Linked DNA regions of Notamacropus eugenii. The protein of the gene in region 1 purifies or fractionates together with the protein of each later gene. This does not show direct contact. Links are inferred from orthologs where the notes say so. Each region holds a gene or a part of one and is shown in the gene's direction. Other genes may lie near its edges.

Region 1 (3,743 bases):
CTGCTCCCTCCCGATGTCCCCCCTTCTTCCTGGAGTCTCCTCCTGCCAAGCGAGGTTTCTGGGACTCTCTGACCCTCCCGCCCGGCGCTCCTCCTACCTGCCGGGCTGCTCCTCCTCAGGCCGGCGCACCTGGACCCCCGGGCATGCTCCTCCTACCTGCCGGGCTGCTCCTCCTACCTGCCGGGCTGCTCCTCCTACCTGCCGGGCTGCTCCTCCTACCTGCCGGGCTGCTCCTCCTACCTGCCGGGCTGCTCCTCCTCAGGCCGGCGCTCCTGCACCCCCGGGCATGCTCCCCGCTCGGAGCCCGGCCCTGGGCCCGCCCCTCGAGGCGTCCGCAGGGGGCTGTCCCCCTCAGTCCCCCCAGGAGGTCCCCGCTCCCCGGCCTGGAGAGCCGATGGCTCGAGGCTTGACTCCCCCCTGCCCTCCGCCCCCAGCACTGCAGAGGGTCCCGCTCCCCTGGGGGTCACCTGCCGGGAGGCCCCCGCGCCGGGGGGCGCGGGCCAGGGGAGGGTCACGGGTGACCGCGCTCGTCACGTGGGGCCTCCTCTGTGAAAGGGGGCGAGGTCGGACCCCAGGCTCCAGGCCCCCCAGCTCTAGCTCCGGGATCTCCCGGCTCTCCTCCGCCCCTGGCCAGGGGGCGCCGCACCTGGGGAGACGGGCGTGCCAGGACCCACCTGCAAGCAGCCCCGCCCCCAAACAGCGGCCACTCTGGGGGGCCGCCCAGAAGCCCCCCAAGACCGACCTGGGGATGGAGAAAAGGAGAAGGGGGAGGGCGGAGGGCACTGTCGGGGGCCGAGGCCTTCCCTCTCACTGCCCCTCACCGGACCAGGTTTGGGGGCCCGGCAGAAGCTCTGCGGGCTGACAGGGGTCACGCTCCACGGTTCCTCCCATCCCCCGCCCCCAGTCTTCCTCCGCGCTAAGCCTCCTGGGATTTGGAGTCCTCGCCCCCCTCCCAGAGGCTCCTCGAGGAAATGCCGAAGCCCAACCAGCCTTTATCGCCGCTGCCGCCTGAGGCCCTGCCCGGAGGCCCCGCCCATTTCCCAAGGGACGTCAGGGAGCCGGAGTGCCCCCTCCCCCAGCATCAGGAGCAGGGCTTCGGGAAGCGGGACTACAACTCCCAGAAGGCAACGGGACGCCCGCGACTGCGCAGTGGCTCTCCCATCTCTGCCCCCACCCCCTCCTCGCTCCTCCGCCGCCCTGGCTTTCTCTATCTCCAGACGCCGCGGGAGCCGGACCGGAGCCGGAGCCCGAGTCCGAGCCGAGCCCGAGCCGAACCCGAGCCGAGCCCGAGCCGGAGCCGCGTCTGGGGTCGGGCCGCAGCTGCTCCCGTCACTGTCAGGCGCTGCGGGCGAGGCCCAGGGCGGTCATGGAGACCCCCGGAGGCGGGGCGCGCTGAGGCCTGGGGCCCCCCGGGGGCGCCTCAGTCCAGGTACGGGGAGGGAGGAGCCAGAGGGGGGATGGGAAAGGGCTGGGGGCGGGGTAGGAGGGGGGTTGGGGGAGAGAGCGGTGCCGGGTGGGGGTGGGGGAAGGGCCGGAGAGAGGGAGGCGGGCGTTGGTGCAGGGAGGGGGGGAGGGGAGACCAGGTGTGGGGGAGGGGCCGGGAGGGAGGGAAAGGAGGGGGCTACGCGCCCCAGGGAGTCTAGCCTGGTCTGGAGGGGAGGGGGCGGGACCAGCCCAAGGTCACCTTTCCGTCAGTAGGTTGGGGGGGCCCAGCTGTCTGTGCTGCTGGTTCCGATTCTGGGGTGCAGCAGGACTGGGGGAGGGGCAGCCCTGAGAGGTGGGGGGGCCCAGGCTTGGAGTCCGGGGGAGGGGGAGGTGCCGGACCTCCCCCATCTGGGCCGGGCCGGGCCGGGCCGGCCGCCCTGTGCGCCCCTCGGACCCCGAAACCCCGTGTCTTGGTCTGCGCGGATCACAGGTGACGAGCCGCGGATTGGACCGGGCTGGCGGCGGTTGGCCGGGAGACATGGCTCACCTGAGGGACTTCGCTCAGCAGGTAAGGGCTGGGCGGGGTGGGATCGCTGGCGAGATCGTGGGGCAGGATCGTGGGCAGGGTTGCGGGGCAGGATCGTGGGGCAGGATCTCGGGCAGGCGGGATTGCGGGCGGGATCCTGGGCAGGGTTGCGGGGCAGGATCGCGGGCGGGATCGTGGGGCAGGATCGCGGGCGGGCGGGATCGCGGGCGGGATTGTGGGCAGGGTTGCGGGGCAGGATCGCGGGCGGGATCGTGGGCAGGGTTGCGGGGCAGGATCGCGGACCGCAGCACGCCGCTACCCGACCCGAAACAGGGCAGACTGCCCGCCGGACCCCTCGCCCCTCGCCTCCCCCACGCCACGGTGCCACCCGCAAGTTTAGAATTCCCCTGGTCAGTAAAGGGCATCCGCGGGGTCCATCTCTCCTGAGCGCCACGAAGAGAGGCGTGCCAGTGGGCAGGACACCTTCGGAGAGTGGTTATCAGGTGCAATCTCATCTTTTACGCGACTGCTACCTGGTGGGAAGGAATCAAACTTGGGGTGGGCTCTGTTGGCGTCCAGGGGACCCCGGCAGAAATTGAACCCGCGTCTGGGGAGGGGGGACTAGCACACCAAAGGACCGTGGCTAAGTGTGGGGAATGCCAGGAGCCTGGGGTTCTCAGTCCTAGGGCGCTGCTGAGTGGGCCAGCCATCCCCCTGTCTGGGGCCAGGTAGCGATTCTCAAGGGTCCCAGTCTTCTTCCCTGTGGCTCCTCAGAGCAGGGACAGCACCTTGACATTTGGGGAGATTCTTTTGTGAGCCATGCGTGACTATCCCCTTGTGCTTTCTCGGTGTGTATGGTTCAAGTGAGCTGCTTGAGCATTTCTGCTGCAGAAACTTCTGGGAAGGGGCCCTCGGCTGGGGAGCCACCCTTCTCTGGAGGTGGGACAAAAGCTGCCCTTTGCTTTTGGCTGCCCTGCGACTAGCGCCCAGATCATGTTTGTGCTTTGTCTGAACAAAACTGATCATACAAGGAGGTTGACTTAGGTGAGAGCAAAGAAGGTCAGTGGAGGTAGTCGTTGGAGATAGGTAGAAATGCATTTTGACTGTCAATTGGAGGACACTTTTTTAGTTAAACATATTATTTTTAAAACTGTGAGTTTAGAAAGAGTTGCTGAGTCCTTTTAAGAGAAGAAAAAATAGGGTGGAATGATTGTGCCCACAGGTACAGAGAGGTTAAGAGAAGCCTTGTAGTCCCCTAGGGTAATTGTGTGGCGCTGAAATGAAAGGACAGATGTCACTGGGCCTGGCCTGGTGATAATGCCAGCTGCGACTGCAGGTGGGGCCTTGGAGGGAGTGCTGACCTGACATCTTGGATTCGTCTGCAGAGCAGTGGTGCGCTGTGGAACTTATCCCCTCATACGTGTGAATGGGGCTCCAGCCGTGAAGAGTGTTGGGGTCTGTGAGCAGAGGAGGCAGAAAGAAGCGCTCCCCACTCGTTAGTCCCTTTGGCAGCTTGAATTCTGGGTACTGCTCAGGGCTGAGGGCCCAGGAGTAGACCTAGCACTGCCTCAGGTGGGGCTGGGCCCTCAAGAGCCTTGAGCAGCTACCAGGTGTGGGCACCTCAGAAACTCCTTCCACACACTGTCTGTTCCAGACAGAATTACAGTGCAACTGATGCTTCAGGTGAAGGCATGTAGAACCAGGAGCCTGGGGAGTGGCCCACCCCTCACACCCCGCAGTTCATGATGACAGGCCCTTTAGAAGAGCAAGGAAGCCCAGAGTGTCCTCAGTG
Region 2 (3,743 bases), on another chromosome or scaffold:
AGTCACTTAACCCAGTTTGCCTCAGTTTCCTCATCTGTAAAATGAGCTGGAGAAGGAAATGGCAAACCATTCCAATATCTCGTCGAAGAAAATCCCAAAGTGAGGTCAGTAAGAGTTGGACACCACTGAAAATACTGAACGACGGTAAATGATTGCTCTCACGGTCTCTCTGAATGAAAGAGCTAGGACAGAATCAACATCTCCTTCACATGTTCTCTCAGAAGATGAAAGAGGCAGCCGTGCACTCAAACTCTGCCTCCTCCTAAATCTTCTGCTTTCTTCCCCAAAAGCTCTGAACCGATCACAGTCTTCCCAGAGTTTCTTCCCAAGCCCATTGTCTGGAGTTCTGGGATTGCTGTGCCTTGCAGAATCAAACTTAGAGCTTAGGGGGCCCTAGAACCAGAAGGTGGCCCCCTCATTTTGCAGATGAGGAACTGGGGGCTCCAGCGGCTGTGTATCTAAGGGTACCCTCTCCTAAGTGGCCTTCAAAGCTGGCTCTAAGTCCAGCACCATGGAAGCTCTCCTTGTGGATTGTCGGGTTGGGTCCCACGGGTTGGGTCCCACCCTTCCTGTCCCCAGTGTGGGTTTCCTTGGCAGAGACACTGGAGGGGTTGGTCATTTTCTTCTCTGACTCATTTGACAGATGAGAAAACTGAGGCCAACATGATGAACTGACTTGCCCAGCGTCACCCAGCTTGTTCAGAGGAACCTTCCTGACTCCAGGCTGGGCACTGTACCCGCTGTGCCACCGGCTGTGCCCCTGGCTGTGCCACCGCTGCCCCGTGAAGGGCTTCATCACGAACCACTGAAATGCGCGCTCCTAGAGCAGAGCTGGGATACAAAAGGGCTTCCCTGGGAACAAACCGAATGTAAGCGGCCTGAGGGCAGGGGCTGTTTCACTTTTATCTGCCCGCTCGTGCATCCAGGCTAGCCTTTGCCCCAGCGAGGGGAGAGCACTGAGCGCACGCGCTCTCGCCGGCTCGCTCTCTCGGGCCCTCGCCGGGCTCGGCCTCGGTGGGTCCGCCAAGCCTGTGGGGGCGTCCGAGGCTCCCGGGGCTCCCCGCCCCTCGGTCGGGCGCGCGGCGCTGCGAGCCGACGTCGCAGCGCACGGAGGCTGCGCACTGCGGCTGCGCAGAGCGTGCGCCGGGTCGGGCTGGGGGCGGGGTGCGGGGAGCGTCGAGGCCTGAGAGACCGAGCCGGAGCCGGAGTCGAAGCCCAGTGCCCAGCTCGAGCCCGAGCCCGAGGCCCCTGAGCGCCGCCCGAGCCGAGCCCGAGCCCGCGAGCCGGAGCCCCCGGGGCCGCCCGAGCCCAGTCCGAGCCCGCGAGCCCGCGGGAGGCCGACGACGGAGGGGCCCCGAGCCGCGCCGCGGGCACCGGACGGGCCGCCGCCGCCGCCGCAGCGCTTCGCCCAGGCCGGAGCCGGAGCCGGAGCCGGGGCCGCGGACGGGGCCGGGGACGGCGGCGGGGACGAGGAGGAGGAGGAAAAGGACGAGCCCGAGGAGAGCCCGGCGAGGCCTCCAGGAAGGAGCCGCCCGGCCCGGCCCGGCCCGGCCTTAGTCTGGTGAGTGACCGCCCGTCCCGGGCCGGCCGCCCCCCTCGGCACCCGCCGCCTCTGGGCGGCCCCGACCCCCGCCGAGAAGCCTGAGCAGACCCAGGCCCCGCCGGCCCTGTGCTGACCCGACCCGGCCCGGCCCGCTGGAGGCCTGCGGCCTGGGCGCCTATGGGGGAGGTCAGGGCCGGACCCCGGAGCCCAGGGTGCGGGAGGCTTTGTTGGGGCTGAGAGGGAGACACCCCCAGGGCCGGCGGGGCCCAGGGCGACCCACAGTGACCCAGGGTGACGGGACGTGGAGCCGGACCCCCAGACGAGCTGGCGGGGAGATCATTGGGCGACGAGTCCGGAGCCGGGGTCCGGGGAGTGGTCTTTCCCGAGACCAGGGCCTTCTCCCGCATTTTACCGCCCCCTGACCCACCCCACCCTGGGGCCTTCGCTAGCTTCCTGTTAACGGATCGAGGGCTTGCTGTGTGATCTTTATGGCAGGAAGCGCCCTTCTCTTTTCTTTCTCAGTTCTCTGGATTGAACGATTGTGCACCACAGCCTATGTGATTTCATTTCGCAGCCACCAGTGAGCAGTGAAAGAGGTGGTCTGGGCACTGGAGGTCTCGAAAAGGAGAGGCCAGCTGATCACTTGTCAGGGATGTCCTAGAGATCCTGGACCAGGGGGCCTCTGGTGGCCATCCAGCTTCATTTGGGTCAGTGCTGTCCAACACTTTGTTCATCTGGAGTGTTCTCTACTTCCTGAATGTACCTGATGTGTCTCCCAGGAGAAAGCTGTCTGCTTGAAGACAGACTGGTATTTTTCTGTTGTAACTTTGTATTTGGTGTGGTGTTGGATACAGTGTTTCTCAAGTTAAGGGTGGATCTGTGAAAGAAGAGTGAGAAAAGCCAAGCTTGGTGCTGACATTTTCTCATTTAAATGTAGAAGGAATTCCTCTTTCTTAAATGAAATGCAGCTGGAGCTCACTTTTGATGGGGGTAAATCACCTTGTTGGTTTACTTCTAGATGCAAGTGACTTTGCTCAGACTGAGTTGTTTGAAAGGTGTTTACTGGAGATGTCAAGCTCTTGTGGAATTGCCGGAACGTTTCTGTATAAATATACTCATTTGCTAACTCCTCATTTCTGTTCCTTTTTTACTAAAAGATGTAATTATTCACACAAGAATTGGCCTGTAAGTTTTTGAGTTACTGAGCTATTTGGGCTATTGTGTGGTAGCATTTTTTATCAATTGATGTGTTATTGTTAAGGATATTTTTATCCTGGGATAAAATTTTATATATAAATATAATTTTTGTACAAAGTAGATAACATTTTAAATTGACTTTTATTATAAAGTGATTTGTTTGTAGTTTCATGTTAAAAGTGAAAGTTAATAAAGTTGGTACTTAAGTTTTTCCAGAGCACTTGGTAGATATCTTAACAAATGTACTTAGCTTCTAGACAGTGAGCTTCTTGAAAGGGAGTTTGATTTCCTTTGGTTTTACAAATTCGTGTTAGTAGGTTGTCTTTGAGTTGTTTAGTAATGATTAATAAGTGAAAAAATGATTTTTTGACAGGATCAAGGGGAAATGCCCTTAAAAGCTCCCTGAAATTCTTTGGATTTTAATGTTTATGAAGGCAGGCTGATGTTGACATACATGCACATGTGGCTTGGGAGTAACTTCTCATTTTCCTTATCTGTGAAGATTTGGATTCAAGACCTGTGTCTTGAATTTTTTTTAATTTTGACAACGTAAGGAACATGATTATATTAGTTTATAGGGTGCAAGTTATCAGCTTATCAGCTATGGAATGGACGTCACTGAAGTGTAAAACACCAGTGCAGCTATAAAAACATAGCTTTCTGGGCTAGTGTCATATATTTGTGGACTATGTATTGCAGGTTTTTCCTTTTTAAAGGTGCTTATAAATAGGGCCATCCATATGGATTGAAGTCATGTTAAAATTATCCATACAGTTTTTGTGTCATATATGAAATTTTAAAACTAAAGTGTTTAGAGAATTGTGAAATTTAAAAATTTAAATATTTTAAGTTTAAATATTTTAGCATTTCTGATGAAAATTAAATGATTAAGTACTTGGACAGTGAAACAGATTTGTAGTTTAATTTTTAGGTAGTTCATTTGAGTTCATTATATACATCATCATATCAAACTGCAGTATCATTATTGATATTAAATTATAAA
Region 3 (3,743 bases), on another chromosome or scaffold:
CGTGTCTGGAGAGCCCTCCCTTTCCACTTTCATCCCTTAGAATCGATGCTTCCGCCAAAGTTCTGACCTTGTGCTGCTTGTACACAGAGGTCATGCCCCGTCCCCCCTCCCGCCCCCGCAGACGACAAGCTCCTGAAGGCAGGGGCTCCGCGAAGGCAGCTCCTTTGGATGGGGGCCTCCAGGAGCACTGGCACTGGTTTTTAGTTTTTATCTGCACCTCCGGCGTTTAACTTCGTGCCTGGCACACGGTAGGTACTTAATATTGTTTCACTTCCGTTGTGGTATCCTTAACACCCAGCGCGGCGTGCGGTACAGAGGAACGTCTTTATATATGTCGGTTTAATTTAATTCAGGAATAAGGGCCGGGGGGAGAAAAGCGTAGAGCAGGCACAATTTCAGGCCCGAGATGGAAAAGGAACACAACCCCAAGGGGGCAGCGAGCTTTTCCCGGCTTGCCCGGGGGCACCGGAATAAATACCGAGTGCAGGGTCCGGCCGGCTCTGCGCCGTCCTCCTCCGGTCACTCCTTGTTTTCCAGCAGTGCACGCTAGCTGTACGGGAGCTGCTGAAGGACGGGCCCTAGGCCGGGCCCTGCTCCCTGGGGTGCCGGGGAGGGGAGGAGGAGCGGAGAACTCACGGAGAAGGGCCTGGCCTGCTGGCTGGGCAAGAGGGAAGGGGCAGCGGGGCCTCCGTCCTCCGGGCCTCGCCGGGCACAGCCCTCGTGAGACCACAAGCGGGCGAGGGCCCTCCTCCGACCCCCTTGTAAAGCTCAGACGCGCTCGTCCGAACCCCTCTGGGCCCGAAGCCCGGGCGTCGAGAGGCATCTTCACGCTCCCGAAGGATCACGAAAGCAGTAAACGGCTCCGACGCACGCGCACGCCGTGTGTGGGTCGCAGCCCGGGGCGACGTGCAAGCGTGTGCGTGCGTGCGTGCGTGCGTGGGGCGGGGCGACGCTCTGAGCAGGAGGCGGCCGCGGCGGTGGCGGTAGCAGCCGGGGGAAGAACATGGCGGGTGCCGCGGGGCCCGGGAGCGGTCCTGGCGCCGCGGGCGGAGACGGAGACGACTCGCTGTACCCCATCGCGGTTTTGATCGACGAGCTCCGGAATGAGGATGTGCAGGTAGTGGGGCCGAAGCGGGCACCTGAGTCCGGGCCGGCGATGGGGAGACGGGGGGAGGTAGGACTGAGGCAGGAAGGCCCAGTGACTGGGGTGGGGGGGTAGCAGCCGGCCTGAGGCCGGGCCAGGTCGGCCAGGAACCCGGGGGAGACCAGAACCTGCCCCAGAGTTACCCCTACACACGCTGGGGCTCAGCCCTGACCCCGCAGAGGTTCTTCCGAGTCTCGGGGCCCAGCCCGGGCTGGGCCCGCGGCTTCCGAGGAAGACGCTTCCCAATTTCTTTGACGCCTCGTGGGGGCTGGTCTGTGGAAACAAACCCCGTCAGCCCCGGGAGAAACTGGGCCGCGTTAGCCCTAGCTTAAGAAGAAAAAAACCCTTTAGTATCAGTGGGGGGGGGGGGGTCGGGATTTCTGATCGGGGTGCTTCCTTCCCCCCTCCCCGCCCCCCAGGGGTTTCCCTTCAGGTCTTGTCCCAGTTCCACCGCGCCCCTAATTTCTCCTCTTCCCCCTACGCTAAGTAAATGCTGGGCCGAGGTTTAATTAACAGGATGCCCAGGGGTCCTTGGAGTTGTAGAGTTGAAATATGTCCAAGGTTTGCACATGGAAAAGCCGGTTGGGTGGAAGGAGGGATGCATGATTAAGCGAAATGAAATGTGTATTTTCAGGTTAAAAAGGAAAATGACAACAATTATCCTCCAGTTTATTCTTGCCCACCACACTCCTGTCAGCATTCTCTTTCCTGTTAAAAATTCTTTCACTTGTCAGGCTTTCTTTCATTTTTATTGTATTTTCCCAAAAAAGTATGACTGCTCAACTTGAGGAATCTTCTCTTGTTTATATGGTTAGGTTAACCTGACTTCTGGAAGCCTTCCATGCTACATCATCTTCTCTGAGAAATCTAAATTAGAAATTTAAATTTTATTTGTCTTCCTTGCCATCACTTGTCCATTTAGCACTTTTCTTTTAGATTTGCACTTTGTCTGCTTTGTACTGATTTGCCCCTTGCATCTCCATATGATTTTTTTTTTTTTGATAGCTAAGACTCAACAGTATTAAGAAGTTATCAACAATTGCTTTAGCTCTTGGAGTAGAGAGAACAAGAACTGAACTGCTGCCATTTCTTACTGGTATGTTAATTCTGTTTTCTTAGAAAGTGTGGGATTTTTAGTTTTTGTAGCATTTGTTTATTGATTTAGCCATTTCATAGGCTACGTTACTAACAGCATTACTGAATAGTCGTGTGAGTAAAGTGGTATAGAAAGACAACACCATCTGCCTTGGTCCAAATCAGAATATAATAATATGGACAGAAATATTACGGACATATTAAGCAAGTAGAAAAAATATTTACATGACACAGGAAAGGAGGTTGAGCAGTTTCCTAACTCAGTTCTGTAGGAGAGATTCTAGGTAGTATCTGTTGAAAGAAGGAAGAGTAGGCTTTCTTACTATTATAATTTGACTATGTTGCCATTTATATGTCTAATTTGTTTCCCCTTGTGTTTCATCTTGAGTGTTCAGCTGTTGGTCCCCTAACTCTGTTTATGAATTCCCCATTGTTGCTATTTTAGATACAATTTATGATGAAGATGAGGTATTATTGGCTCTTGCTGAACAGCTGGGAAATTTCACTGTCCTGGTAGGAGGTCCAGATTTTGCCCACTGTCTCCTGGTGAGTGGTGATGTGTGACCTATTCTCTCTATATTTTCTGAATTTTAAGAGATAAGGATAGGGACTGGACTTTTGATTTCTTTGGTAAAAGGAACTTCTAGATAAGGGAAAACCCCTCTATCAATGTGGGTTAGCATGTTTTATCCTAACTTCTTGTCTTAGAGACTTGCCTAAAGCATTGAGAGGGTAAATAATTTGCTTAAGGAACATAGCCATAATGTGTTAGAGGCAGGCCTTGTACCCAGGCTTTTCTGGTTCCAAGGCCTGCTCTTTCTTTTGTATGCCATGCACTTTCTTCTCTGTGGTTTAAATGCTGTATTATTTGGAGATGTATTGCTGCCACTCCCCCAACCCCCTACCTGCAAAGTTGTACGTACTTTTAGTGAAAGTTTATTCATTATCATGTTGTGCAAAGATGATCACAATTTCAGTCATTGAGAGCATAAACAGTATGTGTTCTATAGACTTAGCAAATTGACCTTCATGGCCAATCTCTTCTCTGTTCTTTGACCAGTCCTTATGGACTTATTTGTAAATCCACAAGATGGGGAACCTGAATTTAATTGTTTCTGAAAAATAGGGATTTCAAGTTCTCTCCTAGGTGTGTCATTTACCCTGGGAAACTTCATTATTTTTTGTTTTTAACACCTCTGTTGTAAAGATTAATAAATATGTATGCTTTTCTTATTCTAATGAATACAATGGCCTATGAGTGAGCTTTCATTGTGGTGTAGGTTTCTCCATATATACATATCAACAGTATTCTTTTCCAAATTGCTTCTTAAATGCCATATGGAGAGGGAGTGGGTTTAGCAAACTATCATAGGATCAGCTAGGTGGCACAGTGGATAGAGTGCCTGGTCTAGCAGAGTTAGGAGGACCTGAGTTTAAATCCAGCCTTAGTCACTTTACTAGTTGTGTGACTCTGGACAAATTATTTAATCCTGTTGGCCTTGGT

What was found.
Region 2: the proteins of STK25 (region 1) and CAB39 purify together in Homo sapiens (co-immunoprecipitation; 3 studies listed by BioGRID and IntAct, counting the BioPlex papers as one, with this or other methods). This does not show direct contact. The link is inferred for Notamacropus eugenii from reciprocal best matches to the Homo sapiens genes STK25 and CAB39.
Region 3: the proteins of STK25 (region 1) and PPP2R1B purify together in Homo sapiens (affinity purification with mass spectrometry; 3 studies listed by BioGRID and IntAct, with this or other methods). This does not show direct contact. The link is inferred for Notamacropus eugenii from reciprocal best matches to the Homo sapiens genes STK25 and PPP2R1B.

What each region holds. Positions count from the first base shown.
Region 1 is NC_092877.1:378,498,452-378,502,194, reverse strand, and holds the start of STK25 (serine/threonine-protein kinase 25), read left to right. Parts: upstream 1-1,120; 5' UTR 1,121-1,429; intron 1,430-1,915; 5' UTR 1,916-1,963; coding exon 1,964-1,993; intron 1,994-3,743. UniProt on the Homo sapiens protein: Oxidant stress-activated serine/threonine kinase that may play a role in the response to environmental stress.
Region 2 is NC_092873.1:59,171,736-59,175,478, forward strand, and holds the start of CAB39 (calcium-binding protein 39), read left to right. Parts: upstream 1-1,387; 5' UTR 1,388-1,561; intron 1,562-2,065; exon of another isoform or gene 2,066-2,250; intron 2,251-3,743. UniProt on the Homo sapiens protein: Component of a complex that binds and activates STK11/LKB1. In the complex, required to stabilize the interaction between CAB39/MO25 (CAB39/MO25alpha or CAB39L/MO25beta) and STK11/LKB1.
Region 3 is NC_092876.1:142,472,079-142,475,821, forward strand, and holds the start of PPP2R1B (serine/threonine-protein phosphatase 2A 65 kDa regulatory subunit A beta isoform), read left to right. Parts: upstream 1-955; 5' UTR 956-1,003; coding exon 1,004-1,117; intron 1,118-2,149; coding exon 2,150-2,240; intron 2,241-2,684; coding exon 2,685-2,785; intron 2,786-3,743. UniProt on the Homo sapiens protein: The PR65 subunit of protein phosphatase 2A serves as a scaffolding molecule to coordinate the assembly of the catalytic subunit and a variable regulatory B subunit.